7 linked regions of the Oryctolagus cuniculus genome follow. The protein of the gene in region 2 interacts with the protein of the main gene of each other region in a pairwise test. Links are inferred from orthologs where the notes say so. Each region holds a gene or a part of one and is shown on either strand. Other genes may lie near its edges. The genes, in order: NOD2, VIM, FABP4, YAE1, PNMA5, KIAA0408 and KAT7.

Evidence for each region.
Region 1: the proteins of VIM (region 2) and NOD2 interact in binary tests that used the Homo sapiens proteins (3 or more experiments, as listed by UniProt). The link is inferred for Oryctolagus cuniculus from reciprocal best matches to the Homo sapiens genes VIM and NOD2.
Region 3: the proteins of VIM (region 2) and FABP4 interact in a two-hybrid assay, tested with the Homo sapiens proteins (2 studies listed by BioGRID and IntAct). The link is inferred for Oryctolagus cuniculus from reciprocal best matches to the Homo sapiens genes VIM and FABP4.
Region 4: the proteins of VIM (region 2) and YAE1 interact in a two-hybrid assay, tested with the Homo sapiens proteins (2 studies listed by BioGRID and IntAct). The link is inferred for Oryctolagus cuniculus from reciprocal best matches to the Homo sapiens genes VIM and YAE1.
Region 5: the proteins of VIM (region 2) and PNMA5 interact in binary tests that used the Homo sapiens proteins (3 or more experiments, as listed by UniProt). The link is inferred for Oryctolagus cuniculus from reciprocal best matches to the Homo sapiens genes VIM and PNMA5.
Region 6: the proteins of VIM (region 2) and KIAA0408 interact in binary tests that used the Homo sapiens proteins (3 or more experiments, as listed by UniProt). The link is inferred for Oryctolagus cuniculus from reciprocal best matches to the Homo sapiens genes VIM and KIAA0408.
Region 7: the proteins of VIM (region 2) and KAT7 interact in binary tests that used the Homo sapiens proteins (3 or more experiments, as listed by UniProt). The link is inferred for Oryctolagus cuniculus from reciprocal best matches to the Homo sapiens genes VIM and KAT7.

Annotation. Positions count from the first base shown.
Region 1 is NC_091449.1:34,258,672-34,262,171, reverse strand, and holds part of NOD2 (nucleotide-binding oligomerization domain-containing protein 2), read right to left. Parts: intron 1,966-3,500; coding exon 150-1,965; intron 1-149. UniProt on the Homo sapiens protein: Pattern recognition receptor (PRR) that detects bacterial peptidoglycan fragments and other danger signals and plays an important role in gastrointestinal immunity.
Region 2 is NC_091444.1:43,365,578-43,369,632, reverse strand, and holds the start of VIM (vimentin), read right to left. Parts: upstream 2,801-4,055; 5' UTR 1-2,800. UniProt on the Homo sapiens protein: Vimentins are class-III intermediate filaments found in various non-epithelial cells, especially mesenchymal cells. Vimentin is attached to the nucleus, endoplasmic reticulum, and mitochondria, either laterally or terminally.
Region 3 is NC_091437.1:106,978,249-106,982,374, reverse strand, and holds the start of FABP4 (fatty acid-binding protein, adipocyte), read left to right. Parts: upstream 1-1,326; 5' UTR 1,327-1,631; coding exon 1,632-1,704; intron 1,705-4,126.
Region 4 is NC_091447.1:29,676,221-29,680,369, reverse strand, and holds the start of YAE1 (protein YAE1 homolog), read right to left. Parts: upstream 2,801-4,149; 5' UTR 2,733-2,800; coding exon 2,604-2,732; intron 604-2,603; coding exon 482-603; intron 1-481. UniProt on the Homo sapiens protein: The complex LTO1:YAE1 functions as a target specific adapter that probably recruits apo-ABCE1 to the cytosolic iron-sulfur protein assembly (CIA) complex machinery. May be required for biogenesis of the large ribosomal subunit and initiation of translation.
Region 5 is NC_091453.1:131,406,284-131,410,404, forward strand, and holds the start of PNMA5 (paraneoplastic antigen-like protein 5), read right to left. Parts: upstream 2,801-4,121; 5' UTR 2,673-2,800; intron 477-2,672; 5' UTR 335-476; intron 1-334.
Region 6 is NC_091436.1:42,223,268-42,226,767, forward strand, and holds part of KIAA0408 (uncharacterized protein KIAA0408 homolog), read left to right. Parts: coding exon 1-1,040; intron 1,041-3,500.
Region 7 is NC_091448.1:25,797,124-25,801,354, reverse strand, and holds the start of KAT7 (histone acetyltransferase KAT7), read right to left. Parts: upstream 2,801-4,231; 5' UTR 2,613-2,800; coding exon 2,598-2,612; intron 2,543-2,597; exon of another isoform or gene 2,121-2,542; coding exon of another isoform or gene 2,072-2,120; intron 1-2,071. UniProt on the Homo sapiens protein: Catalytic subunit of histone acetyltransferase HBO1 complexes, which specifically mediate acetylation of histone H3 at 'Lys-14' (H3K14ac), thereby regulating various processes, such as gene transcription, protein ubiquitination, immune regulation, stem cell pluripotent and self-renewal maintenance and embryonic development.

The sequences.
Region 1 (3,500 bases), on a different chromosome or scaffold from region 2:
AGTACAGCCCCGCATGGCAGAGACCTGACCGGGCTGCAGGGCTGGTGCTGAGTCTGCATTTCTGGAGCCCAGCTCAGCGCTCCCACACCTAACTTTGCCAGTGGCATTCCCCACCCCTTGCCAGAGCAACCAGACCCAGCGACACTCACTAGAGGGCCTTGCAAGCCCCGAGGCAAGGCAGCAGCTGCTCTACACCAATGTCACCCACGGAGTTGTGGTCCAGCTGCAGGGCCACAGGCCGCCGGAGGTGGCGCAGCACGAAGGCCAGGGCGGCACACTCAGCAGGGCCCACGCCACAAAACGTCAGCTTGAGGTGCTCAACATTCAGCCCGCGCACAGCCTCCTGGGCCAGCCGTTCCTCCTGCATCTCGTACAGGCTCCGGATGAGCCAGAGGAACCCGGGCATGGCGTGCATGCTCTTGGCCTCCCCCGGCACGGCTGGTGGGATGGACCGGAAGTGCTTGTGGAGGCTGCGGGCCAGACACCAGCGGGCACAGGCCCGGCGCCGGAGCAAGCTCCTCTCAGATGCCTGGCACGCAGCCAGCAGGTCCCGGTGCTCCCGGGACAACAGGCCAGCCAGGAAGGCTGCTGTGATCTGAAGGTTGTGCGGCTCAGTCTTCTGTAGCAAAGCCGCCACGGTGCTTTCCTTGTGCTCCGAGCCCTGGACGCACAGCCTGGGCAGCAGCCTGGACAGCGGCGAGCTGCCAGGCCTGCGACAGTTGAAGAGGTATCTGAGGGAGGCTGTTGGCACATCAGTGCTGAGTACCAAGTAGAAGGCAGCAAGAAAGCACTGGAAAGTAATGTGCAGGAATTCGAGGGGCGCTGTGCTTCCCGGCACGACTCCTTGGGCTTGCACCAGGAAGCCCAGAGAAATGTCATCAGGGTCAACCTGCGCTGCCTGGAGCTGCTGGGCTGAGAACACGTAGCAGCACATGCCCAGGCCCCAGAGAGCCAGTTGGCCGAGGCGCAGGAGGGTGGGGAGCCTTCCTTGAAGGAGGCTCGGCCCCAGGCCCTGGGAGGCTGAGTCTGGGAGGGAGGCATGCCGCAGGAAATGCTGCAAGATCAGCAGGTACATATCCGTGGTGGTCTTTGGGGACCCCCCGTCCTGCAGCAACAGTTCCTGGTGGCATTTAGACACCATCCACGAGAAGACAGGAAGGTGACACAAACCGTGCAGGGCTGAAGTTGTTTGGAGCAGGTGGATGAGGCGATCTGCCACCCCAGGCTCACGATGGCACTTCCTCAGGTACAGCTCGATGCCCTCCTCTGAGAAGCCCTTGAGGTTGAACTCAGTGCGGACATACTTCCTAAGGAACGCTGACACCGCATCCGGACGGCTGGTCAGCACCTTGCGGGCGTTCTTTAGGAGGTTGCCTTGCAGAAGGTTGAAGAGCAGAGTCTGGACAGACGTGGGGTCAGTTGGAGAGCAGTGACGCTCATGGTCCGTGAACTTGAACTTGAACTCATCAAAGCCGTCAAAGGTCAAGAGGATGCGGTCAGGGTGGTCCAGGAGGAACTGGAAGACATCCTGTTGGCCAACATCGGGCCAGCAGCAATGTTCAAAGAGCAGCGTCATTACAGACAGCGGTCTGGCCACACACTGCAGCTGCCGGCAGCTGAATGGGAAGACAAAGAGAAATTCCTGAAAGTCCTGCCCCGTGGCCCACAGCAAGTGCACCTGCTGTAGGAGTGTGCTCTTGCCACTGCCTGCCTCGCCCACCACGAGCACGGTGTCCGCATCTTCATTAAGGTGGCCGTTGGGGCTGAAGAGCTCCTCCAGGCCCAGGGCGGCGGGGCTCTTGTGCAGGGGTCCAGCCATGCCCACCTCGGTCCGGACCTCCAGGGTGTTCTCTGTGTATATGTCCTCCAGGCAGAGGTTCTCTGCTCCATCATAGGTGCTGAGGAAGCGAGACTGTGCAGCTACTATGGTCCGCAGCTTGGACATGTACTTCTTACACGCGGCAGCTAGAAAACAGAAGGAGAGGGAGATGCGGGTGGGGCCGTGGTGAAGAGGGCAGTTACTGGTGGGAGAGAAGACCTGCCGGGCACCTGTCCTGGCTCCTCTACTCACAAGCTGTGAGTTGGACTTGGAGGACGGTCGGGGAGCCTCCCTAAGCCAGGTTCTCTCCCCCTGGGAAGTGGAGAAATGGCGGCCATGACCTCCTAGTTTTTACATGAATAAATGGTGCTTAGCACAAGGTCCAACAAAAGCAAGTGCTTGAATGACAGCAGTGATCGCCATGGTCATTACTGACGTTGGGAGGCGCGCAGAGGGTTGCACCGGGTCGTGGGCTGTGGATGCCCATCTGGCCACACTGGCTGGGCAGCGTTACCCAGGGTCTTTCACCATACAGCCGCCATTGCTTCTTTCTAAAAAGACACAGGAGGCAGAAGAGCTTAGGAATCCAGTTTCAGGAGCCAGACACATCTGATTCTGAAACTTGGATTGATCCACCATCAACATGGACAAGCCACTTAGCCCTGCTGGGCTGCAATTTTCTTGTATGCAAAAATGGATAAAATTGACATCTTAAGAATTATTTCAGGAGACAATGAGATAAAAAGAGATTAGAAGAGTATCTGACACTTGATACACAATGAAACCTGGTTTTTTATTATTACTATCGTGAGTGAGGTAGGCGCAATGGTTCTCCACCCCACCACCACCCTCCCCCACCCCCACGCCCAGTGTCCACATGCTGACTCCTAGAACGGTGACTATGTGACTCTCCAAGGTAAGTGGAACTCTGCAGGGCGATGCAGTCAGAGACCTGGAAATGGGGACATGAGCCTGCGTCCTCTGGGTGCGCCTTCCTCTGGAAGGGCAGAGTCTCTGGTGCCTGGCTTGGGCACTTGGCCTAGACTCTATCCTGCCCACACTTCCCCACCGTGCTCATGCAGCTCTCTGCCTTTCCTTCATCATCCTGAAAACCGAAACTGAGCAAACCACTTCCTGAATCAGGGTTCAGTTCCCCTTTCAACAAATGGGGAAGTGCTGGTCCAGAGTCCCAGCTGGTTCACCCCATCACAGCCTCACTACCCCTACCTAAGCTCCAGCCCGTTTGTTCTTTTCCCTGAGGCCAACAAGTAACTTCCACAGTAAGGTCTTAGCTCCCCTAAGGACAAGGAGTCACTCAAAGAAGAGGCCCTGGGTCTGCACTGCCTTTCTGGTCCCCAGACTGAGGAATGGGTGGCTTTGTCTGCCTTCCACCCAGGAGCATAGGACCAATATCCCAATATACAAAGGTACTTCAAAAAGCTCATGCAAAATTGGAATTAAAAGGCAGTTTATTTTGGTACAACAAACCCTGAAATCCATGTATAAGGGGGCTCTCCAAAAAGTTCATGGAAATGTACACTATGAAAAAACTGGGGCCAGAGTCAAGCAGGTTAAGTGTGAAGGACAGCAGGTCAAGCCACTTCCTGCAAAGTCAGCATCACATATGAACACTGGTTCAAGTCCCAGCTGCTCCACTTCCAATCCAGCTCCATGCTAATGT
Region 2 (4,055 bases):
AAGTGAAAGGCAATTATACAACTCAAATGACCGAATGTATGTGTTAATTTTAGCGATGCATAGTGCAGGGTTCCAGTGCATTGTTCGGGAAATGTCTCAGGTCCTGTTTTCCAGAGGAATTCGTGGGATTGGACTTGGAGCTGGGGAAGCCTTTTGTCTAGAGGACAAAAAAAAACTTGGAGATCAGGACACGGAGGGAATGTTCCGATGTAGCCGCTTTAACCTCTCTGGGGAAACCGCTGAACTCAGAGGCTATTGTTTCACTGTTAGTTACGTGGAATTGAGTCGTCTCTCTCTCTCTCTCTCTCTCACACACACACACACACACACACACACGAGATGGAGGGACAGGCAAGCCAGTGTTCTTTTGATGAAGCAGCAATTGAAGAACCACAGGTGTCGGAGTATCTGGAATACTTAGGGAGTACCGAACCGGTGAACTGCAGAACCTCTGTAAATTGATTGTACAGGAAACAGATTCCTGCACCCTCTTTGGGTGGGGACCGGGTACTGGAAATCACCTGGCATTTAAGAAAAAGCATGTGGTGGCAATTGAAGGGTGTAGCATAGCCTTTTTTGTACAAACCTCTTTGAGCAATGTTTAGTTTACCTCATCTCAGTGAGTCCTGGTGAATGGCACTGCCAAGGACCTGCCACAGGACCCTCTAAGGCCAGCTCTCCTGCTGTGGCTGTCCTTTGTTCCCTTATTCACTGGAGGCTGAGGGGCATTCCTGGGACTAGCCTATGTTCCACGTTAAGGTCTTGCCTTTCTGAGGGCCCTTTATTCAAGCCACTGCTCAGCAAATGTCACCATTGTAAGTTTGCCTGCAACCCTTTGAATGGCAAGTCACCTCCCTTTGGGGAGAGGAGAGGCTGGACCTTCCCCCTGCGTGAAATGCTGATCCCAGTGCAATGCGGTGGCGCGGTCAGGGGCCACTTGATGACTGACTCACTATGGAAAATGAGGGCAAGGCTGTGGTGTGGTGTGGCCACGGGCCCCGCCTGCACCCACAGCACATTCCGCAGGGCAGTGGTGGTTCTGGGGCAGGCTTTCATCCTCTTCATCCTCTAGGGGTGCTACTTCTTTCTAGCCTGTCACCATTCTGTAGTCTCAGGGCTATGGTAAGCCTGGGGGTATGGCCACAGCTGTTAGATTTATATATCCCATGTAGTATATGTAATTATATATAATATATGTCAAGCATATATATATATATATACATATATATAGTACCAAAGATACTTCAGAAAGTTCACAGAAAGTGGAATTAAAAGGTAAGTTTATTTTTGTGCAGAAAATGTTGAAATCCATGCAAATTTTTTCACTAGGTACATTTCCTGTGAACATTCTGAAGACTCTTTGTGTGCATAATTTCAAGTTTTTTGCCCCAATATAAACTGATTTTTAATTCTATTTTCCACAAATATTTTTAGGCACCCTGATATATACACACACCTATACACATGTGCAGTACCCAATTTGTCCTCCCTGTGAGAAATCGCCATAATTGGAGGTAGACTGCAGAATGCTGAAAGATGAGAGTTACAGAAACACTTTCACTCACTCATGTAGAATGCGGGAGACTTTGGAAAGAATTCACACTGAGATAACATATCCATGCCTAGCCCTATGCCTCAATAAGAAGTCATCAGTTAGGATTCGTTATGTCTGAACTCACATCCTTGAGCTTGATAATGTATCCTGCTGTCTCTATTATCTATGGTCTTAGTTAACTTTTGAAAGCAACCTGTACACAGACATAGATTTCTCAATTTTTGTATTTTTTTTTTTTGCCAGAAAAATCTGAGAAGTATTTTTGAGTGCTGGATCATGAATCTGGTTTAAACATTGCATGATGCAAGTGGTGCATGAATAAGGACACGGTGGTATGATTTGTAGGCCAGGCATAAACACGACTACATTTGGAGTTCTAGCAGTGATTTTGGAATTTGCAAGCTCTGGCGATGTCAGTTGGACTGGTTGATGTGAACTGACAGCCCAGCCAGCCGTGTGCACAGGAGCTTAGTGGCCTGTGGAGGCTTTGGGAATGGTGGCTATGCCACAGCAGGACTGTCTGGGTGAAGTGTTGAAAGCAAGAAGGTAGATGAAGTGAGAGGGTGAAAACTGTTGCAAAACCTAAATGGCACAATAATAAAGATACTAATGAACAATACCCTAAGTGCATTAATTTTTATGTCTACGGAATGGCAAGCATTGTGCATGCATTTAATTTAAGTTAATGCTCTTGCAGCAGCCTGCAATGTAGACTTGGTTCTCCAGTTCACAAATTTGGGGTCTAAGGCTCAAGCTCACAGTTTTCTCCTGTTGTAGAGCTAGTGGGGTGTGGAAGGAGATGACAAGAATTTAAATTGAGGCTCTTTTCTGAGTCCAATATATACTTGTCATTTATCTTTGATTGGTGTTGAAATTTTTCATACTATCAGGCATTCAATTCATAAACACTATTTAGGGACCAACTGTGTCCCTGGAACTGAGGGGACTGAAATTAGCAAAGATCCTTTGGCGTAGGAGCAATTTCCCTCGGAGTACATTGGCAGACACAGAGAATGTCATGTTTTATGTTAGGTTGTGTCAATGATTCATATTAGATCAGCAGGGAGATTCCTTTCTACCTGCGCTCCAAGTCCATACTTTGTGAGTTCATCATTGTCACCCAGATTCTGCTCTGTCTCTTCAGAGGCATCACACCCAAAATTGGTCTTAGCTTATCTCACGCCCTAAACCCCACCAACCACAGCAGCTTCTCTTTCCAACTTTCCTGTCTCTTTGGAACATCCCAGCAAAGTAATCATCATTGCCACTTCCCTACTCTTGGATTGCTCAGTTCCAGTGAGTACATGTCCCCTTGCTTCCTGTGTCCACTCGTCTGTTAGATTGCTGTCTGCGATTGGCTTCCATTCTTCCAGCTTACAAATGCATCTGTCTTTGGGCTGTAATTCCTTTTTCTTAAAAACTTCCTAAATGAAAGATCTCTGCGAGTGAGATTCCAGTGAAAAGAACAGGTCATCAAAGAAGGAGGTACCTTTCTCTGAAGGGAGGAGAGAACTTCCACTTTGACTACGACCTTGTCTAAATATGATCAGAGTTGGTGAACTCAAAAGGCTTCCATAGCCTTGGCAACTCATGACAAGAGCCTAGGGTGATTACTGAAGCCATAAACAAGAGTGTCAATTTGTTAAGTCAACAACAGGAGTCACTGTGCACTTACTCCTCATGTAGGATCTCTGTCCTTAATGTACTGTACATTGTGATTTAATGCTATAACTAGTACTCAAACAGTATTTTTCACTTTGTGTTTCTATGTGGGTGCAAACTGTTGAAATCTTTACTTAATATATGCTAAACTGATCTATATATAAAGAGAATTGAAAATGAATCTTGATGTGAATGGAAGGGGAGAGGGAGAGGGAAAGGGGAGGGTTGCAGGTGGGAGGGACGTTATGGGGGGGGGAGCCATTGTAATCCATAAGCTGTACTTTGGAAATTTATATTCATTAAATAAAAGTAAAAAAAAAAAAACTTCGTTAAGATTCTATGGTGTGCCAAAGGGAATTGCTCATCCCTTCATTAGGGGTGGAGGGATCTGTTTCTCTTTTGGTCACCACTGTGTATCCAGTGGCTGGGAAAGCACTGGGGACATTTGTGGAAGGTAGGAATCAATGCATGGATAATCTGTGGGAGAAAAGAGTTGAGGGCTAATATCTACTGATGATTCTTATGTTTAAGCACTGTGCTAGTCACTTTAGATGTGGTTGCATTTTATAGGATATTACAATCTGCAGCCTTCACTCATTTACTCAGGACACGTTTACTGAATATGTACCGTGTACCAACCACTCTGTTAGACACCGGGGAGAGTGAAAAAGGTAGGCATAGTCTAAGCCCTTTTGGAATGTGGAGTCTGCACGCATGCATATGGGGTACAGCCAGATGACAATCGAATAAAGGAACAGGCGAAACAGAGGCACGTTTTAATAAAGACCATGAAGGAAACAAAGTTTGCAGCAGAGGAGATTGAGGATCCTAGCTGAAT
Region 3 (4,126 bases), on a different chromosome or scaffold from region 2:
GTATATCCCCAGGAGTAGAATGGCTGGGTCATATGGTAGATATATTTTCATATTTCTAAGGAATCTTCATACTGTCTTTTATAATGGTTATACTAATTTAAATTCCCACCAAAAGGGTAGTAGGATATGTTTTTCTCCACATCCTCACCAGTATTTATTATTTTTTGATTTTTGTATAATAGCTATTGTAACTGGGGTGAAGTGAAAACAAGTAAGGACTCAGTATATATTTTTAAGAAAAACATTATTAATTTGAAACATTCTCAAAATAATCCTGATATTGAGATTGCTTATTTTCCTTTCCTTTCCATCTGAAAGTTCTTATTCAGTAGGAACCAGATGAGTCCTTGATGGCTATCCTACCCTGGCTAGAGCTTTACCACAGTCTGTGTGTCCATGCAATAGTTCATAATGGAAGAACATTGTTACTGTGCCATGAAAAAATGTAACAATTAAAACAGTATTATAAACTAACTTTACTTTTCTAGTCCCTTACATTTGTACAGAAAGTCTCATTGGTTACAAGCTATCCTGCCCAAATGAGAGACTGTTGGAACAGCAGATATTGTTCAACGGATTTACAGTGATTCATCCCTCTGCAACTTTTTAGTTTCTTTTTTCCCTAATGCCTAGGTATGTTCATGCAAGTTTTTTGCACATATGAATATCTTCCATCATCTGGTATGAGAGGATGAGGACACTGAAAACCACGATTACTATAGAAAAGTAATCCCACAAGTGAGATATGCAAAGAAGGATAAGGTATCGATAGCTCGTAACTGACCCATTTCTGATCTTTCAAGTAAAGCAACAATGTTGAGATGTAGATTAATGCAGAGCTCATAATACAGTTCAAGAACTGAATGAATTTTCTCAGTGTGAGGACTGCATTTTGGATTGGAGCCTATGTTTTAAGATATCTTTGGAAATCAACACCACATCGTCATTTAAGGGATAGATAGAGTGAGGTTAAATTATCATTTAAATAAATCTAGAGTCCAGTTTCCCAGTGAATGAACTGATATACTCTTTTATTCATAGAAAGGTTTGAAATTAGAGGCCTGAGGTAGTTTAAAATGCCAGTATTTACTTTGCTCTAATAAGTAATTCCTGAGATAGTCCTGTCCCAAAGAGGCTTTGCAATGTTTTAAGAACTTCCAACATAATTCTTAGATTCCTTAATTTGAAAGAAACTCATAATAGCAATGTTAACAAAAAAAAAAAAAAAAAAAAGGATGTCAAAGTTCATCCCAAGGTAATTGTTCCCCTCTGCCCGGGGGTAAATATGTATGGAAATAATAGGGGGAAGTTCAGTGCATTAAGCATTAAATAGTCGAAACAGCATGTAAAATGTTCTGCTCATGGTTAAAAATAATTTGTACTCTAAGTCCAATGACCACTTGCCAGGGAGAACCAAAGTTGAGAAATTTCTATTAAAAACATGACTCAGAGGAAAAAATGCAGAGGCTGGTAAAGGAGGAAATGACCTGATATCGTTCCCAATTGGCTGTTCAGGAGATCACATGTTCTGAACATCTTTAAAAAGAAGTTGTCTGAACATTGGAGGGCCACAGCACCTTGCTGAAAGCTACACTTCTCTCACCTGGAGGAATAAACCTAGAAAGCTCAAAATGTGTGATGCTTTTGTAGGTACCTGGAAACTTGTCTCCAGTGAGAACTTTGACGATTACATGAAAGAAGTGGGTAAGAGAATGCATTGAGGGATGACTGGATTGATAACATTTTCTCTGGGGGGAAGTGGTTTATCGTGTTTTTCACTCTGGAAGCATTGGCCAGAGATGCTGTTTTCTATACAGAAGTTATGTAAGAAACAGGTGAGAATCTTTCTCTGGAGATGTGTTGAACAAAAGCTACAGCTAATACTTCCTGAAGCTGAAACTCTATGGGAAAAAAATTTGTGTAAATGAAATTCTTATGATCTACAGAAATGAAAAGATTTGACTCTAATTCCACAATGTGGGTATCTTTAGCTTAGTTGACTCTTTGCCTGCTTTTAAATCCGCTTTTGCATATAGAATTTGCAATAACTTGGAAAGAAAAACATATTTCTTTCCTAGCATATAATAATTTCCATTTGACAATGAAGGCACATTTCCCTTCTTTGCATTTTTTTTAGTAAACGTGCATTAGCAAATTATTGTCTCAATGTCAATGTATTAAGATGTATGATTGTTTTATGATTAGCAAGGTGTTTCTCATAGGGCTTTAAAACTTTGCATACAAATGGTATGGGATGCCATTGGATTATTGGTAATTCAAAAGGAGAATATTACATATGTAACAGTCTTCCTCTTTGATAATAGAACCCTTCAAGTTTTCATACTATTAACCTTGCCAGCATTTCATTGCACATCTATCCATTCAGGAGGTGAAGAAATGGAGGTAAACTAGGGAGACAATTTCTTACTCAGGCAGCTTCTGCTTTAAAAACCATTCTTCCCCTACCCTTGTGCATGATACAGTCAAATTCAGGGTTAGCAAACAAGGAGGGAATTTTAATAATATCTCTAGTAGGGGTTAAGATTTAATAATCCCTATAACTCAAAAGACTTAAACCATCCCCGACATTATATATAAGCTAGCATTTTTCCTGTTTACAGATGAGAGAGACATCAGGGACTTCAGTGTAAAAAAGACCTAACTTTCTAGAATGCTAGTTATCTGTGATTCAATAAACTAATTAATATGCATAATATGGAAAAGTAAGGATTTGGGAACATGTAGTTACTTTTAGAAATAGTCTACACTTTTGATAGTTACATTTAAATTTTTATAACAGTACGTTTTTAAATCGTAAAGGATTGATGATAGTTAAAGATAATAAGATACCTCCAGAATGAAATTAGCTGCTCCAGCTGAGGCTGAGAGAGCGGGCATTGCCTGCATCAGTCAGCAAGGAGAGAATGGTTTTTCCTAAGGTCAGCCATTCGAGCGTCACACTGGATGTTGTATCCAGTATTTAATGTGTTAGAGCTGGGACTTATTGAAGCAACCTGTCTTCCCACCTGGGTCACTCTCCAGCTTGTTAAATGGGAGCGTCAGTATTACTTATTTTGCACCATATTTCTCTCCATTTTGTCCCTGTTTCTAATTGTTCGTTACCTTTAGTCAAAAATATGGCTTGGATTTATGTGCACGTGTCAGAAAGTCAACACATCTACAATTATCATAAATTCTGCGTAACATGCAAGGTCAGCAAGTTCCCATTGTTTATATCAGGTTGTAAATTGTTCATCTCATACCTTGCACAGGAAAATATATTCCTTTTTTTTTAAAGAGGAATTGGCAGTTTGGGTGATTAGAAATCAAATAATCAGTTTCTAAACTACTGTTAAGTAAAAAATAATTTACCTTTTTTAACTTTCATAGTTATTTATTTATTATCAAGAAATCTTTTATTTAAAGTATACAAACTTCATGCAAACTTAGGAACATAGTGATTCTTCCCACCCAACCTTCCCTCCTGTCCTCACTCCCACCTTTCTTCATCCTCCCTCTCCTACTCCCATTCTTATTGTTTTACAAAGATCTATTTTCAACTAACTTTATATACATAAGATTAACCCTGTACTAAGTAAAGAGTTCAACAGATAGTATGGAGAAAAAATAACTGTTCCTCAACAGTGAGACAAGGGCTGGAAAATAGTGATTTCTTAAATTTTGAAGTTTTCATGATGCCTGGTCTTGCTTTAATAGTTCCTATAAGTTATTGGGAATGATATCACCAACCTAAAATGGTGTTACTATAGGAAATATTTTGCTTTCAGAAAGATTAACCAAAACCTTCATTCCATAGTGGAGCAATTTAGAAAGAAGCCCAGCAAGCTATCCTTGGCAGCAATGCCATGAAACGCGGTTTTTGTACACTCATGACAGATTATCTTTTAGCTGAACAACTCTGTATTAGCCCAAATGTTTTGTTAAAAATTCTTTGTGAACTTTTATATAAAATTTTTAGATGTAAGAAGGAATGGTCAAATTGCCTCAAACTTTCATGAATTAAAAAAAATGATAGCACTCACCTTTTAAAAATACATATAGGCCTGGAGATTTCATCTGTGTGCATATTCTTGCTGAAAACTAACACTAGACCTCCTGAGGAGTT
Region 4 (4,149 bases), on a different chromosome or scaffold from region 2:
TGTCAGGTCTTAGCTCCATCTGATCATTTGGTTCTGCCATATGCTGTTACTGCCCTGGCTTCCCGACAGGTATTCAATGTTAAGGACTACAATACATGGAATCATTTTACCTTTATTACTCACTACAATTTCCATCTACTTCTAGTTTAGAGGTCTGTCATATTGGGTTCTGCCAAATGTGCAAGTACTAAAAGTTTTATTTAAAGCCTGAAGATCTTGTAATTAGAGACTGGCAGTAATTCTGGTAGCAAAGAGTACACACCCTCTTACTGTTTCCATGCCCAAAAAAGGGACAACAGCTGGCTCACATATTAAAATGGATGAGCTGATAATGATTTTTACTCTTTGAAGGCAACATTCTATGTTTTTCCACACTCTTGTGTATTCAACAGCAGAAAGAAGCACTTTAAATGTTTATTTTTAATATTCATAAAAATCATCCTGTAATATTAAAGATTCAGCATTTAAATTTCTGAATTACCTCAGTGTTCCTCTGAGTTCTCCATAGTTTACAATGATTGCTGCACCTTCTTTATAGCCTTGATTGAAGCCCTGTTGAAGAGCAACTGCTTTGCCAGCATCGATTCCTTCTCTATAGCCTTCCTAAAAATAAGCAATGAACAACTACAGTTGTAACTAATACCAAGTGAACCATATGTAGGCTTTTCTAGAAAGGCACAGACCCAATTTAGAAAACTGATGAAACTGGCTTTTACTGCATTCTTGAAAATAATATGGTATAGCCCCACAAGCAATGCAGGTTATGTTCCTCATAAAAATTTATTACCGGTTTATTGTTCCTTATCCCACTTTTGAAGTGTGTTCTCACCCAGTTTTTAACACCTCTGTTTTAGCAATGTCTTCACAGAAAGGAAACATGGAAACTTACATGTCTGGCCCTCTGGCAACTGAGTGGAAAGGTGTGAGTGGGTGAGGAGACAGAACAAAGTAAGGAAAGGCAAAACTGTTTTAGAAGGAAAGTGAGAAGCCTGGTTTTAGAAATTTTGCTTGATCCTGAAATCCAAGTAAATTCTCTGTGGACAGAAACTTTGTTCTGCATGTCCCAAGTATGTCACAGTACTCAAAAGATGCTTATTATTGGGGCCAGCACTGTGGAAAAGGGGGTAAAGTGGCTGCCTGCAGTGCTGGCATTCCATACAGGCTCTGGTTTGAGTCCTCGCTGCTCCACTTCCGATCCAGCTCTCTGCTATGGCCTGGGAAAGCAGTAGAAGATGGCCCAAGACCTTGGGACCCTGCACTGGGAGGAAGCTCCTGGCTCCTGGCTTCAGATTGGCCCAGCTCCAGCTGATGGGGCTTTTTGGGGAGTGATCCAGCAGATGGGAGACCTCTCTCTCTCTGCTCTGTAACTGTAACTTTGTCTTTCAAGTAAATAAATAAATTCTGAGAGAGAGAGAGAAAGAGAGAGATGTGGCAGTATTGACTGGTCCAGCCTTAGCGTCACATAAAACTTTTTGTAACTGACAACGTGGTTGCTGAACTAAGCAAATATTGTTTTGCTGAAACATTAATTTGGGGCAGATCCCCAATACAGCTTTAGGAGCAATTTAATGGCTGGCAAATATAGTAAGTGGAAGCAACCCCCACCATTTAGTCTTCACCCAGTACTAAGCTCTGAGTACTCCATCTGGAAATTACGCTTAGACTCAACAAATAAAATTAGACATGAATAATTCACATCCAACAAATAAGAAGAAAATTGGTTTTAATATTCCCTTACTTGGTCATCAGTATTCCATCTTAGCTTTCTCCTACTGCCTTTTTTTTTTTTTTTAATATTTACTTGTTTGTTTGAAACGCAAAATTACAGAGATGCAGGGGCAGAGAGAGATCTTCCATCAGCTGGTTCATTCCCAAATGGCTGCAACTGCTGGAGCTGAGCTGATCCGAAGCCAGGAGCTTTTTCTGGGTCTCCCACGTGGGTGCAGGGGCCCAAGGACCTGGGACATCTTCTACTGCTTTCCCAGGCCACGGCAGAGAGCTGCTCAGAAGTGGAGCAGCCGGGACTCGAATCAACTCCCATATGGGATTCGGGCACTGCAGGAGGTGGCTTTACCCGCTATGCCACAGCCCCGACCCCTCTCCTACTGCCTTTAACATTGTAAAGTTCACTTTTTTCGTGTATCTTGGTTAAAACACTCCTAACTCTGGGCTCCCCACCCACTCAAGCTGCCCGTGGAAGCCTGAATGCGCGTCCTTTGACAGCCATAATCAGCAGTCAAGTAATCACTGTATTGGTATGTCTCTCCCCCACCCACTTCCCTGTGATCATCATCAGACAGCAATCGCTTCCAAGTGTGGACAACATGTGTTTTGGTGGGCGTCCCGCTTCTCCAACGCCCTCCCGCAAGCGCTCAAACAACGCGTCTCTGGGGTTCACCCGCTTCCAAGCAACCCACTGGGAAATCCTGGCGGGACGCGGGGCGCACCGCGTGGCAAAGGGTAAGGACGGCGGCGCTAGCCAGACTGGGACCACTGGGACCACGGTGGGCCCGGCTTCTTCACAAACTCGGGGCTCCGCTCCACCACAGCCCGGCACCCCCCGGGGTCCCCGCACCCTTCCCACCCCCCTCCCCCGGCTTTACTTTCACTCGTTTCTGCATGTGACTCCGCCATTCCCGCTGTACCAGGAGCGACTCGTCAGCTTCCTCATCAAACACGTCCCCCTCCTCGGCCGGGCTCTGGACCGAGGGGGTAGCCCGAACCCACGACATCACCGAGATGGCTACGGAGCCGCAGGCAACAGGAAACACCCGCGACTCCTTCCGGTGTGAGGGGCGGGACGAAGACTGCGCTCCTGGCGCTCAGGGCGGGTGCGCGTGCGCCGAGGCGATCCGTCGTGGTTGCGGGCTGTCCAGCCTGACGTCCAGAGCTTTTGGACTCGCGGACTTTGGGACTAAGTCAGTTAACACAGTGTGTCCGTGTGCACCTTGATTCCTTCCTCGGCTGGGGCGTGACCTTGATCAGACCCCGCATTCCTGTCGTAGACTGCAGTGTTCTGGGTGTGGGAGAGGCTCCTTTTGTAAAATCACTCAAGGCGGTTGAGCCAGTACTGCCCAAAGACTGTCTCAGAATCTCAGCGTGTTCAGGGGACGTGACAACCTGACACGGATTGATTGTTAGGAGCTTGGAGCAAAGAGCAAAAGAGTCAGAGAGTGAACTACTGCGGCCCATTTGAGATCAATAGGAAATAGAAAGGTTGCCTTTGCCATCGATACATCTTCCTTGATTCTCAGTATCCTTCGCTGCCTTCCACTCTTGCTCACGTGCGCTAAATGCAAACTGTGATCTTGGCGAGGGCGGGAACTTGTCTGCCCCAGCACCAGCAGGTTCTGACACTGCAGGTGAAAGCACCCCAGTGGCATCCCGTTTTGCCTTTGTTTGTGTGGGTAAATGAGTCCTGTGACAGTCGTGGTTTGTTTGTCTTACCTTTTCTTGAATACCTGTGTGTCTGGATACATTAGTGAATAAAACAGATAAAAGTTCCTAGCCCTTTGGATTTTATTCCTGTAGAATTTGCAGAGCACACACAGCAAACAAATATGAGTAACTTAGGTAGTTTGAAGATTATAAATAATAAATGTTATGAAACAAATTTAAAACAAGTAAAGTAAAGGGAATCCTGAGTGTGTGTGTGTGTGGGGGGGCGAGTGGATGGTGCAGGCTACAGATTTAAATTTTAGAATTTTGCATCTCACAAATATATAACCTGTAAAAGGCATATATTAAGTAAACTCTTAAAAATGTATTTGTTAATTAGAAACAAAATGGCAATAAAGGAATCAATAAAAACAATTGAATAACGTTGACTAGCTGAGCGCATTTAGCCTAGTGCGTGAGATGCTAGCCTCCTGCATTGGAGTGCCTTCATTAGAAGCCAGCCTCTCACTTTGTTTGGAGTGCCTGAGTTTGATGTGCAGCTCTGACTCCTGACTCCAGCTTCCTGCTAATGCAGACCCTGGGAAGCAGTGGTGATAGCGCAAGTGGGTTCCTGCTGCTCACATGGGAGACTTTGATTGCCTTCCCAGCTCCCAACTTTGTCCAGCTCCAGCCTAGATTATCACTGGTATTTTGGGAAGTGAAGCAGTGCCTAGGAGCTCCCCCTCTTTGTCTATCTCTCAAATAAAATTA
Region 5 (4,121 bases), on a different chromosome or scaffold from region 2:
CTTGAAGAGCAACAGGTGATGTCACTATCCTCCAGCCAATGGAAATGTCCTAGCAGCAAGGGAGCTGGGAGAGTGAAGGGGAGATGGGGGTGAGGTGAGCAGCAAGGACTGAGTGCTGAAAAAACAAGTGCTTAAGGTTTCATATTGTGTAGCAGCTAGAATTAGGGGCAGAAAAGGGACCCAACGAAGGGTTCCCACTGTCCCGCTGCAGGAAACAGACAACTGTCACCCTAGGTGTGGCCCTACCCTGCAGAGTGTGTGGATCCTGGAAGGCAGCCTTTGTCCCCTTGTCCTTTGCCAGGGTCACAGAGGCTCACCTTCCAAAATAACTTACTTGACGACTTGGCAGTGTGGATTCCACTGGCCGTGTAGAGTTTGTGATTCTGATGTAATCAGGCACTCAGCTTGCTCTCCAGCTCTGTCCTGTCAGGCAGTTCCCGAACCAGGTTAGATGGATCAGGATCCCTTCACTGGATCTGTCCAAAGCAAGGCAGAGGTATTTCACTGTGGTTACGTCCCAAATGCCCTGCTCAGGATGTGCCAATTTTGAATCTGCTCACGAATACAAGAAACTGCTGCTCCACCCCCAGGGAAAAATCCCACCCACCAAGCCCCAAATCCCACCTCCACTCAAGCCACACCCCCAAGGCCAAGCTCTGCATCCACCTAAGCCTCACGCCTGCCATGTAACTGCGTCCACGCAAGCCCCACTCCTTGCACCAAACTCTGCGTCCACGCAAGCCCCACCCCTGCCGTCTAACTCTGCGTCCACGTAAGCCCCACCTCTGGTGCCAAACTCTGCGTCCACGCAAGCCCCACCCCTGCCGTCAAACTCTGCGTCCACGCAAGTTCCATCTCTGGTGCAACACTCTACGTCCATGCAAGTCCCACCTCTGCCGTCAAACTCTGCGTCCACGCAAGCCCCACCCCGGCGCAACACTCTGTGTCCACGCAAGCCCCACCCCTGCCGTCAAACTCTGCGTCCACGCAAGTCCCACCCCGGCGCAACACTCTGCGTCCACGCAAGCCCCACCCCTGCCGTCTAACTCTGCGTCCACGTAAGCCCCACCTCTGGCGCCAAACTCTGCGTCCACGCAAGTCCCACCCCGGCGCAACACTCTGCGTCCATGCAAGCCCCACCCCTGCCGTCTAACTCTGCGTCCACGTAAGCCCCACCTCTGGCGCCAAACTCTGCGTCCACACAAGTCCCACCCCGGCGCAACACTCTGCGTCCATGCAAGCTCCATCTCTGGTGCAACACTCTACGTCCATGCAAGTCCCACCTCTGCCGTCAAACTCTGCGTCCACGCAAGCCCCACCTCTGCCGTCTAATCTGCGTCCACGCAAGCCCCACCCCTGCCGTCTAATCTGCGTCCACGCAAGCCCCACCCCTGCCGTCAAACTCTGCGTCCACGCAAGTTCCATCTCTGGTGCAACACTCTACGTCCATGCAAGTCCCACCTCTGCCGTCAAACTCTGCGTCCACGCAAGCCCCACCCCGGCGCAACACTCTGCGTCCACACAAGCTCCACCCCTGCCGTCAAACTCTGCGTCCACGCAAGCCCCACCTCTGGCGCCAAACTCTGCGTCCACGCAAGTCCCACCCCGGCGCAACACTCTGCGTCCACGCAAGCCCCACCCCTGCCGTCAAACTCTGCGTCCACGCAAGTCCCACCCCGGCGCAACACTCTGCGTCCACGCAAGCCCCACCCCTGCCGTCTAACTCTGCGTCCACGTAAGCCCCACCTCTGGTGCCAAACTCTGCGTCCACGCAAGCCCCACCCCTGCCGTCAAACTCTGCGTCCACGCAAGTTCCATCTCTGGTGCAACACTCTACGTCCATGCAAGTCCCACCTCTGCCGTCAAACTCTGCGTCCACGCAAGCCCCACCCCGGCGCAACACTCTGCGTCCACGCAAGCCCCACCCCTGCCGTCAAACTCTGCGTCCACGCAAGTCCCACCCCGGCGCAACACTCTGCGTCCACGCAAGCCCCACCCCTGCCGTCTAACTCTGCGTCCACGTAAGCCCCACCTCTGGCGCCAAACTCTGCGTCCACGCAAGCGCCATTCCTGGCGCCAAAAGCCAACCTCTGAAGATCCACTGAACCGGCAAACTGCGTCTTGCGCAAGCGCCATTTCTGGCGCCAAAAGCCACTTTCACCAAGAGCCACTGAACCGCCAAACTCTGTGTCCATCCGAGTGTCATACACTCCGCCATTCATGTGCACGTCCTGCACCCACCCAAGTTCCTCACTTCCATTTCCCTGTACTCCTTTCCCCCACCTCATTATCTTTAACCTCCTGTACCCATCAGGCTGTCCCATTCACTCCTAACCTCACACACCCTTTCCACTACTCTGAGCAGGGACACATCTAGTCAGCAGAGGTAGCTAGAGGCTAGAACAGGAATGGCCAAAGCCACTTTCCCTCAAGGATAAGGGCCAGAACCAGTTGTCCTTACTGCTACGTCTGGGCAGGTTTGGGGTAGAATGGGCCCTCCTAAAGTTCTGAGGCCACTCATGATAACTGGAAATATCAGGGACCCCTAGGATTCTGCTTCCAGGGGAATCTAAGGCCACTGGCCCCTGGGACCTCATGGAGGTCAACCAGGATCATTGGAGGGAATCTGTTGTAACCTTGGTTCCCTTTTGTGCCCAAACCCAGCTCCTTACCTTCTGGGAATGCCTCCAGGCCACAGCGCCCGTGCAGCGTGGCCACTCTGCCGCCGCCACTGTACGGAATGAGCCGCGAGTTTGTGGCGGGAAAGAAATTGTCGGGTAAGCAACGGTCTTCAGCACCGCCCACTCGCAGATGCATCCCGGCAACGTCTACGGCCACGCCCACCCCCATCTCCACCTCCACCCCACTCCTGCAATAAAGGGGTTGTGCCCTGTCCACCGCACGTTTCTCCTCTGAGTCATGACTGGAGGGGGAACAGAGAATTCAAACCATACTGAGAACTGTTGCGTTGCAGAGTTGCTCACAGTCCAGCTTGTACGTGCTCAATAGAGGCCGACAGGACCACCACCTGTCACATCAGTCCCAGCAACCATTGCGGCTACTATGATAGGTGTCTCTCACCCATTGGACTGGGACTGGCTCTGACTTTCACCAGTGGCTCCTCCTGTTTGTGTATTCCAAGCTATGCACACAGGGCTATGTGCAAAGTATAGGTCCAGGTGCAAACTACAAGCTCGGTACCTACTAACTAACCAAACGTCTCTGTCCTTGTTAATTTTTATCCACTGTGTCCTAGGGGACGGCAAAAAATAAAAAATACAGCTACTACCTTCATTTTACAAATGCATGCAATTTTCAAGGCTCATTGAGATACAGGAAACTATCAAGATTTCATTCTCTCATTATTCTCGTGATTGCATGAGAATTACCCACGAGGTACCGAAACTTCTCTCTTTTCTTTCCCAAAGCAGGTTTCTTCCACAGAGGGAAGACTTAGCTGTTTTCCTTGGGGCTACTGGGGACCCTAAAGTCCTGTCCCAGCAAAGGGCACTGGTGGGACACTGGTAGCAGTTTACAAAGTGCACACACATTTCCCAGAGCAGGTGATAGTAGCGGTTCAAGTTGTGAGTCAGGAGGTCTTGGCAGAGCTCAGAGTCTGCAAAAGTACCAAAACTCTAGCGGCTATTGCAGTTCCCTGCCCATGCTTTGTGTAGCACTGCTCTGAGATTACCAGAGCCAGAAGTTGTAAGCTGACAGAACGTAAGTTTTGCTGTATTTGGTACGAATAACAGGCCTTTTTTAAAATCATATTTTAATGAAAATGTGAAAAGCAGAAAACTTTTAAAACTAAATGTCACCAAGTAAGATACATACAAATATTGCATTATTCTCCTTTAATTGAAAATTTTTCCTAGGTGAGACATGACACTGTAACCCAGACCCCTATACTGCGTACTTAACAAGAACATACTTTGGACTATCTCTTAAATTAATTTCCTTCTCCTTACTGGAGAAAATGATTACTTGGCGCTGCCACGTGGTCACAGACCAGACGGCTCTCCTTACAGCAGTCCACAGCACCCTCTGGATGACACCACCAGCTGCCCAGTCTCATACAGGCTGTGAGCAGAGCTGTCCTGAGCACCTCTGTACTTCATTCT
Region 6 (3,500 bases), on a different chromosome or scaffold from region 2:
AGCACATTTTAGACCACCACAGCTGGGTGACTCATGAGGGTCCAGGTGAATGCAACTGCAGTCCTCATTCCCTTTTAAGGCAACGTGAGACGCCTACATTGTGTCCAGATGAAGGGAAGACTTTGAAAGATGGCATATTTTCCTCTTTGGAATTAGAAGTGAAAATAGATAGCAAGCCTCCATGTAATGAAAATGTTGGTCTTAGCATGGGGTCATATGACACTGGGAAAGATGCCAAAAACAGCCCTCCTACTGTGTGGTTTCAGAAAACCTGCTCCACCCCCAATAAGTCAAAATATGAAAACATGATCCCAGATCCTCCTGCTCAATCTCATGCTGATCTTCATGTAAGTAATGACTGTAGCTCTGTGGTGATTCAGGGAAGTGGCCCACTTAGAAGTTTCAATGGTGGTTTTGAAAGGACAACAAGGAATGAAAAACTGGCAGCCAAGACTGATGAATTTAACAGAACTGTATTTAGAACAGATAGAAATTGTCGTGCAGTACAGCAAAGTCAAAGCTACTCAGAATCATCTGAGGATATTAAGCACTGTGATACCTTAACCACAAATCCAGGTAATATATCCAAAAGTGACAGTGTATCTGGTAGTCTGAAAACCAGTGCCCACATGCCTGTGCCTATGGGAAATGTGCCTGATAATTCAACCAAGAAACTCACAACTGGTCTTGTCAGACAAATGCCGGAACCCACAGGTCCTAGCAGTTATCGGAATATGCTCCATGAGCATGACTGGAAACCAAATAATTTGTCAGGCCGACCAAGGTCAGCTGATCCCAGGTCAAATTATGGTGTTGTGGAAAAGCTGCTGAAAACCTATGAGACATCAACAGGGTCTGCATTGCAAAATTCTAAGTGCTTCCAAGATCAATGGACCAAATGTAATTCTGATGTCGGTAGTGGTGACACATTAAGTCGGCATTTAAAAATGATCCAAATGGAACAAGAGTTTCAACGAAACCCAGCTATTTGCGGGGTACAGCAAGTGAAGCAAGTAATAGATCGGAAAAAGATAACAGAGGTGAGAAAGCAAAACAGCCTATGTTAATGGAACTGCATTGGTAGTTAGTGATGGCTCTGAGTTGAGTTTAGTTGCCCAACACATCAGTAGAACATAGGCACAAGTTTTGGCATCTTCTGGGCTTCTTGAATATTTGTTGTTTCTTTCCTGAAAAATACTCAGGCTGCATATTTATTGATTCGTAGAATTTTAACCTTTTAAAGCTTTCTTTATTCAAAAATAATTTTCAGTTATTAAGTATGATTAGCTCATATTGAGTAAGTCACATGATTTTTAATATGGGTAAATATTTAAAAATAGTGACCTGTAGAATCCTATCTCTGGAATTAAAAGAGAATATATGAAATAAGATCTTTTTAAATATATATTCTTAGCATGAAAGTTGCTAAAGAAGCATGAGGTTTTTAAGTAAACTGTTATTCTCTTTATCTGTTTACAAGAGTATAACTTTTGTTAACTATAGGAAAAAAGAGATCAAAGAAATTTGTATTTACAAGAATCCCTTTCTATGAATTACAATTTTTAAGAACAACTTACATACAGTTAACAGCTTACATATAGCTAACAGTAACAAATACTGTTATTGTTAGCCAATCCTTCTAAAATTCTAGTTTTACATAATGCAGTGTGTATTCAGCATGGTTTTAAGCTATGATGGTTTCCTCCTTCTGTTGTCAAAAATATTTTTATGTCCTTTTGAGCCCCGCAAAATCATATTTTCCACCACTTTATCAGAAACTTTCCCTGTTTTTATGAGGTACAAATAATTATACTGTTTTTATAGTTCTCTCTTCTCTAGTTGAGCTCATAAATAGCTAGAGATGAAAAATTCAAACATATACAGTAACCAACCAAAATTCTCGTTAACTAACAAGGAATAACCCTAAATGTCTCCCTGTTCTGCATTGATTGAGGATTTGGAAGTCCTCTATTAGAGATCACTAGAAGTACTTTTGTTGGTTTTCCTCTGTAAGTACCCAACTCCAAAGAGAGAAAAAAAGGAAATGCAGGTTACTATAAGGCTTTGACTAAAAATTAGTAGACATCAAGCCCCTCCTCACTGCCCATCTCAGATGCAAGGACATGGATTGGCTAAGAAAGTCACTTAGAACCAAGAGTATAAAATGTATCATGGAAGCCTTTAAAATTTTTTTTAATTGATAAGGAATGCTTTTCTTCCACTGAAATGAAAGGAAAGAAAAGAAAGAAAGAGAAGGAAAACATTTTCATTTGTCAGAAGATACCCGATATAAACAGCAACTCTTTATTTGCAGTTAGAATGAAGGTACATGAAAAGTACTTGGGGGTGGGTGTTGTGGTGCAACAGACTAAGCTGTAGCTTGCAATACTTACATTCCATTTTCAAAGGGCTGGTTTCAAGCCCCTGCTCCTAAGGCTTCCAACCCAGTTTCCTGCTTCTGCACCTGAGAGACAGCAGATGATGGCCCAAGTATTAGGGTCACCCATGCTGGAGACCTGGATGGAGTTTTTGTCTCTTGGCTTTGGTCTTGCCCAACCCTGGCTGTTGCAGCTATTTGGGGAGTGAACCAGCAGATACAACATCACTATCTTCTCTGTCTCTCCCTTTCTTTCTGTCACTCTGACTTTCACATAAATAAATCCATCACTTTGACTTGCAAATAAATAAATGAATATCTTAATAGAAACATCCAATGTGGTGCAGTGGTTAAGTTGCCACTTAGGAAACCCATATGAGAAGCCCTGGGATTGAGTCCCCTCTCCACATCTGATCCAGCGACCTGCTGATGTGCACTCTGGGAAGCTACAGATGATGGCTCAAGGACTTGAGTCCGTGGCACCCATGCACGGGACTTGGATGGAGTTCTGGGCTCTTGGTTTTGGCTTGACACTACCCCAGGTATTGCAGTTATCTGGGGAGTAAACCAATGGATGATAGATGGATCTCTTTCTCTAAAATTTTGAAATTTAAGAAAAAGTATACTAATGATCATTTTAACTTGAGAAATAGTGATGGTGTCCTTAATTTAAAAAAAGAGATAAATTATGAGATTTTTATGTCTTTTGCTTATGATCTCTAAGAAGTATGAACTAGACATAAATGAGCAGAAGTTTTTCTATAAGGCATTTTCATTTTTAAATAATACTAAATATCCTAATAATCCGGTAAGAGACATCTGTAATTCCATCCTATCAGTCATTTAACTTGAACTTTTGAATCCTGAGCTCATAACTATTTTTACAAAGACATCAACTGTATTGAAATTTGTCAGTGTGAATGAGATCCACAAGATTATCACATGTAATGATTTATATTAAAATTGAATTGCTTTGATTAAACATTCCAAGCCACAAATATTAGACAGATACCATCTTTAATTTTCAGTGCCTTTTCTTGGTTATAAGTAGGCCACATTGATCCCTTAGTTGGGATCTACAGTATATATAGTTTGCCATTAGTGCCTGTATAGTGAGATGAAT
Region 7 (4,231 bases), on a different chromosome or scaffold from region 2:
AATAAAATATATATTTTAAAAAAAAAGCAGGATTTTAAAAATCATCTTTTCGGGACAGGCATTGTGGCATAACATGTAAAGCCATCACCTGCCATGCCGGCATCCCATATGGGCGCCAGTTCAAGTCCTGGCTGCTCCACTTCCAATCCAGCTCTCTCTTCTAATGGCCTGGGAAAGCACTGAAGGATTGCCCAACTGCTTGGTCCCTGCACCCACATGGGAGACCTAGAAGAAGTCTCTGTCTCCTGGCCCAGCCCAGCTGTGGCAGCCGTTTGGGGAGTGAACCAGAGGATGGAAGATATCTCTTTTTCTCTCTTTCTCTCTCTACATCTCTGTCTTTGAAATAATACATACATCTGTGGTGTAACAGGTAAGCTGCTGCCTGCAGTGCCGGCATCCCATATGGGCACTGGTTCGAGACCCAGCTGCTCCACTTCTGATCTGGCTCTCTCAGAGGAGGCTCCTGCCTCCTGGCTTCAGACTGGCCCAGCTCCAGCCATTACCACCGTTTGGGAAGTGAGCCAGTGGATGGAGGACCTCTCTTTCTGCCTCTGTCTCTCTCTAACTCTGCCTTTCAAATAAATGAATAAGTGTTTAAAAAAAGAAAGAATATTTGCTAAAAGCAATAAAAAATTTCAAACTACAAGTCCCGATTCTTTATTCAAAACCCTCAAGGCCAGCGGCTGTTGGAATTCATAATTTTTAAGATTTTAGGGAGCAGGCATTTGACCTAGAGGTTCAGCCTCTGGTTGGGATACCAGCATCCCTTACCACCGTGCCTCGTTCCAACTTCCTGCTAAGGCCCACTCTGAGAGGCAGCAGCTGATGGCTTAAGCAGTTGGGAGACCCGGATTGAGTTCCTCACTCCTTGCTTTAAGCCAGGAACAACCCTGGCTGTTTTGGGCATTCAAGGTGTGAACCAGCAGATGGGAGCTGTTTTTATCTTTCTTTCTCTGCCTCTCAAATAAGTTAATTTTTTTAAAGGAGAAATGTTTAAGATTTTATGAAAAGGAATACTTTGCATATAGCTTACAAATAACACCCCTAATCAAACACATTCATATTTCTACAGCAAAATACACAGTCACACTAAATGAGACACGAAAAGACCATGGGAAGCCTGACAGTTTAGGATAGGTTTGCTGCCAAACAAGTTATTGAAAAGCCTCTTGGAGAACACACTGTATTTGGGGATTGCAGAAGGGGCCTGGGGATCTACTGCAAGGCACCACTACCACTCCTGCATTTGGTCAGCCTTAACATGAGCACCACCTGCCAACCTAGGTGACTTTAGGGGACATTAAAAAAGCATTTAAAACAGAAGGCCTCTGGGGGTTAAAGACTTCAGCAGATTGAGCACGAATACCACCTAGTTTTCCAAAGATTTCAGGGTCACCTGTGGAGAAATGAGATGAATCAAAGTCCTGTAAGAATCAGAGGAAAGCGCCAAGATGAAGGGGAAACCCGAAGGCTCATCTCAGCCCAGTTACCCAGGGTCGGGAACCCCTGACCTCTGACCGCTCCTTCCTCGCCCAGCCCTGAGCTCAGCTCCTCTTTCTGGCTTTACAATCGGCTTCCCTTCTTCCCCAGAGCACATTTAATTGCTCCTTCACTTCCCGCCACGGCACTCTGTACCTTGAAGCAGAAAATGTACTACCTCCTTCAGTTCTTTACATACACGCTTTCCCCATCACACAGTAACACTGCTAAGTCAGAGATCACGCCTAATTGAGCCTGGAATCCCCAGCGATCAGCAGGTAGCAGGCAGGCGATGAACATTTGTTGAACTGAATCGTGTTTCTGTAGTTATGGCTCGGCCACCGCCCATTTCGAGGGGCTTGGGACACTCCCTTGAGACTTCCATGTGTTCCCTTGTAAAAAGAAGGGAAGGGGGAAGAGGGTGTTCCTAGGTGACCTCACAGTTCTAGAAAATTTTTGACTTTCGAACAGGATTTTCCAGCCACTACAGAACCGCAGATTGTGGCTAGAACGCAACAGGCCTGGGCGGGATCCCCTGGAGGGTGGGCGCTGTTTCTCCACCACCCAGTTCTCTGCTTTGTTGTGCCCCCACCTGGAAAGGAAAGAGATCTCCAAAACCCCGCCTCCACACCTATCAACATCCTCAACCGGAAGGGCGGGGATTCACGCCGCCCAATCGACGCCCTGCTAAGCCGCGCCCCCGCGGGACAGACTGCCAAGCCCGACCAATTAGGAGAAGAGGGATCGGTCGCTACAGCCAATTGGAGATTGCTAAGGCCGGGTCCAGACACCACCCCCGCATGCGGGGAGGTGACCGTTGGGCCCAAACAGGCGGTGTAACCAGCCAATCAATACGCTTCAAGACGTTCCAGTGACCAATTAACAATAAGAACGCCTTCGACCCAGGCAAGCAGAGGGCGGGAATAGTTGCAAGCATAGGCCGAGGCCAGGCTTGGGCCCACATTTTTCTGTTGGGTATGCACAGAGAGAGGATAGCTGAGTTAGGTTCGGGAGAACGGGAAGTTGGAACCTAGGCGCTGTGAGGCGTGGCCTACTGCGTCACGCTGCTCCCTCTACTGTCCTTAGAAACCCGCCATCTCTCCTCTCCCGTTTCTCACCTTCCTTCGCGGCATAGCCGGCGGCTGCGGCCCGACGGTTCCGATTCGGGCAGCGGCGGCAGCAGCAGGAACGGTGGCTCCGGCGGGCTCCGTGGCGGCCTCTGTAACAGTCCCAATCCTGCGGACGATCCCAAGTGCCTCCTGCCTTACAGCGTCTGGAGCCTTCTGCGCAGGCGCCGCGGGCTGAAGCGCTTTTTCCTTCACTTCCGGCTGGGGCTCACGTCATTTGACGTTACGGGCCAGAGAGGGTGCTGGGAGGGTCGCTCCTTTCGGTGAGGCTAGCAGGCGCCATTTTGGAGTTGGGCAGGAAGAGGCACCGAGAGTGGAAACCGGGGCCAGCCATTTTTAGTTAGGTGAGTGACGCCCTTTGTGGGCGTGGGTAGCCATTCTTGTTTGGGGCAGAAGCCTGACAATTGAAGTTAACGGTTCTCATCTTTACCTTGGGCAAAATTTCCCTACCCGGTCGTTTTAATTTCTGGATTCGAGGAAAGAAACCCCAGAATTCATCAGGTTGCTGAGATTTAACCCTTTCGTTGCTCATTTGCCTAAAGGACGTTTCCGTTTATCATTTAAAACTCTAAAGTTGGGAAGGGCTGTTTTGAACAAGGAACTTTGTGTTTTAAGAGCCGTTCTGTGTCTCAAAGAGGGTGGGAATAAGGGGCAGGAAAAAAGGAATACAGGGCGTCCGTCATCAGGAAGTTTCCTGTCTGGTAGAGGAGACTTTGTCCTTGCCCTTAGCGAACGGCAAGTAAGTTAGTCGTGGGAGACGGCAAAACCATTCTTGTGGAACTGTGATTCTAAAGAATTCCATTTAGCTGTGTGTGGAGCGCCCACCTCCTTCCCCCACTGTGCTCGGGTTTGCGAGCCCTGGGGGGGGGCCAGAGGTGAAAAATACGCCTTGGTGTCGGGGTGCTGTGCCAAAGTCGGAGAGACTCCTTGAACCCCACTGAGCCCAAATGACCTCTGGTCATTTAAAATAAAAAAGATTTACTTATTTATTTGAGAGGCAGAGTTACAGAGAGGCAGAGAGAGATCTTCCGTCCGCTGGTTCACTCCCAGATGGCAGGAGCTGTGTGGATCCAGAGCAAAGAGCCTCTTCGGGTCTCCCACGCGGGTGCAGGGGCCCAAGGACTTGGACCATCTTCTGCTTTCCCAGGACGGAGCAGAGAGCTGGATCAGACGTGGAGTATCCAGGACACGAATCAGCGCCCATATGGGATGTCAGCGCTGCAGACCACAGCCCTTGCCCCACCTCTGGTCATTTAGCATGAGCCAAAGTTGGGGGAGGGGAGAAAGGGTGGGAATATTTTTGTGTGTGAAGCTGAAGCCCAGAAAAGAATGGATATTTAAATAATAATGGGAGAGTCTAGGAAGAAGTTGGTCCAGGATATTAGGCTGGAAGAAGAGCCCTAAGAAAAGGCTGGTAAAGTGGAGACCTCCCTGGAGGAAGTCTTGAGAAGACCAAGGCTTGACCAAGAGCAACTGGGAGAAATCCAGACAGCCTCAGTCCCTAAGTTAGGATCCTGGACCCCAATATCCACGTGAGGCCAGCTAAGATGGAGATCCACCCCCTGAAGCAGGCAAAGGAATAAAGCAGCAGAAGACAAACACCTGACTGATGTGTTAAACAGAGC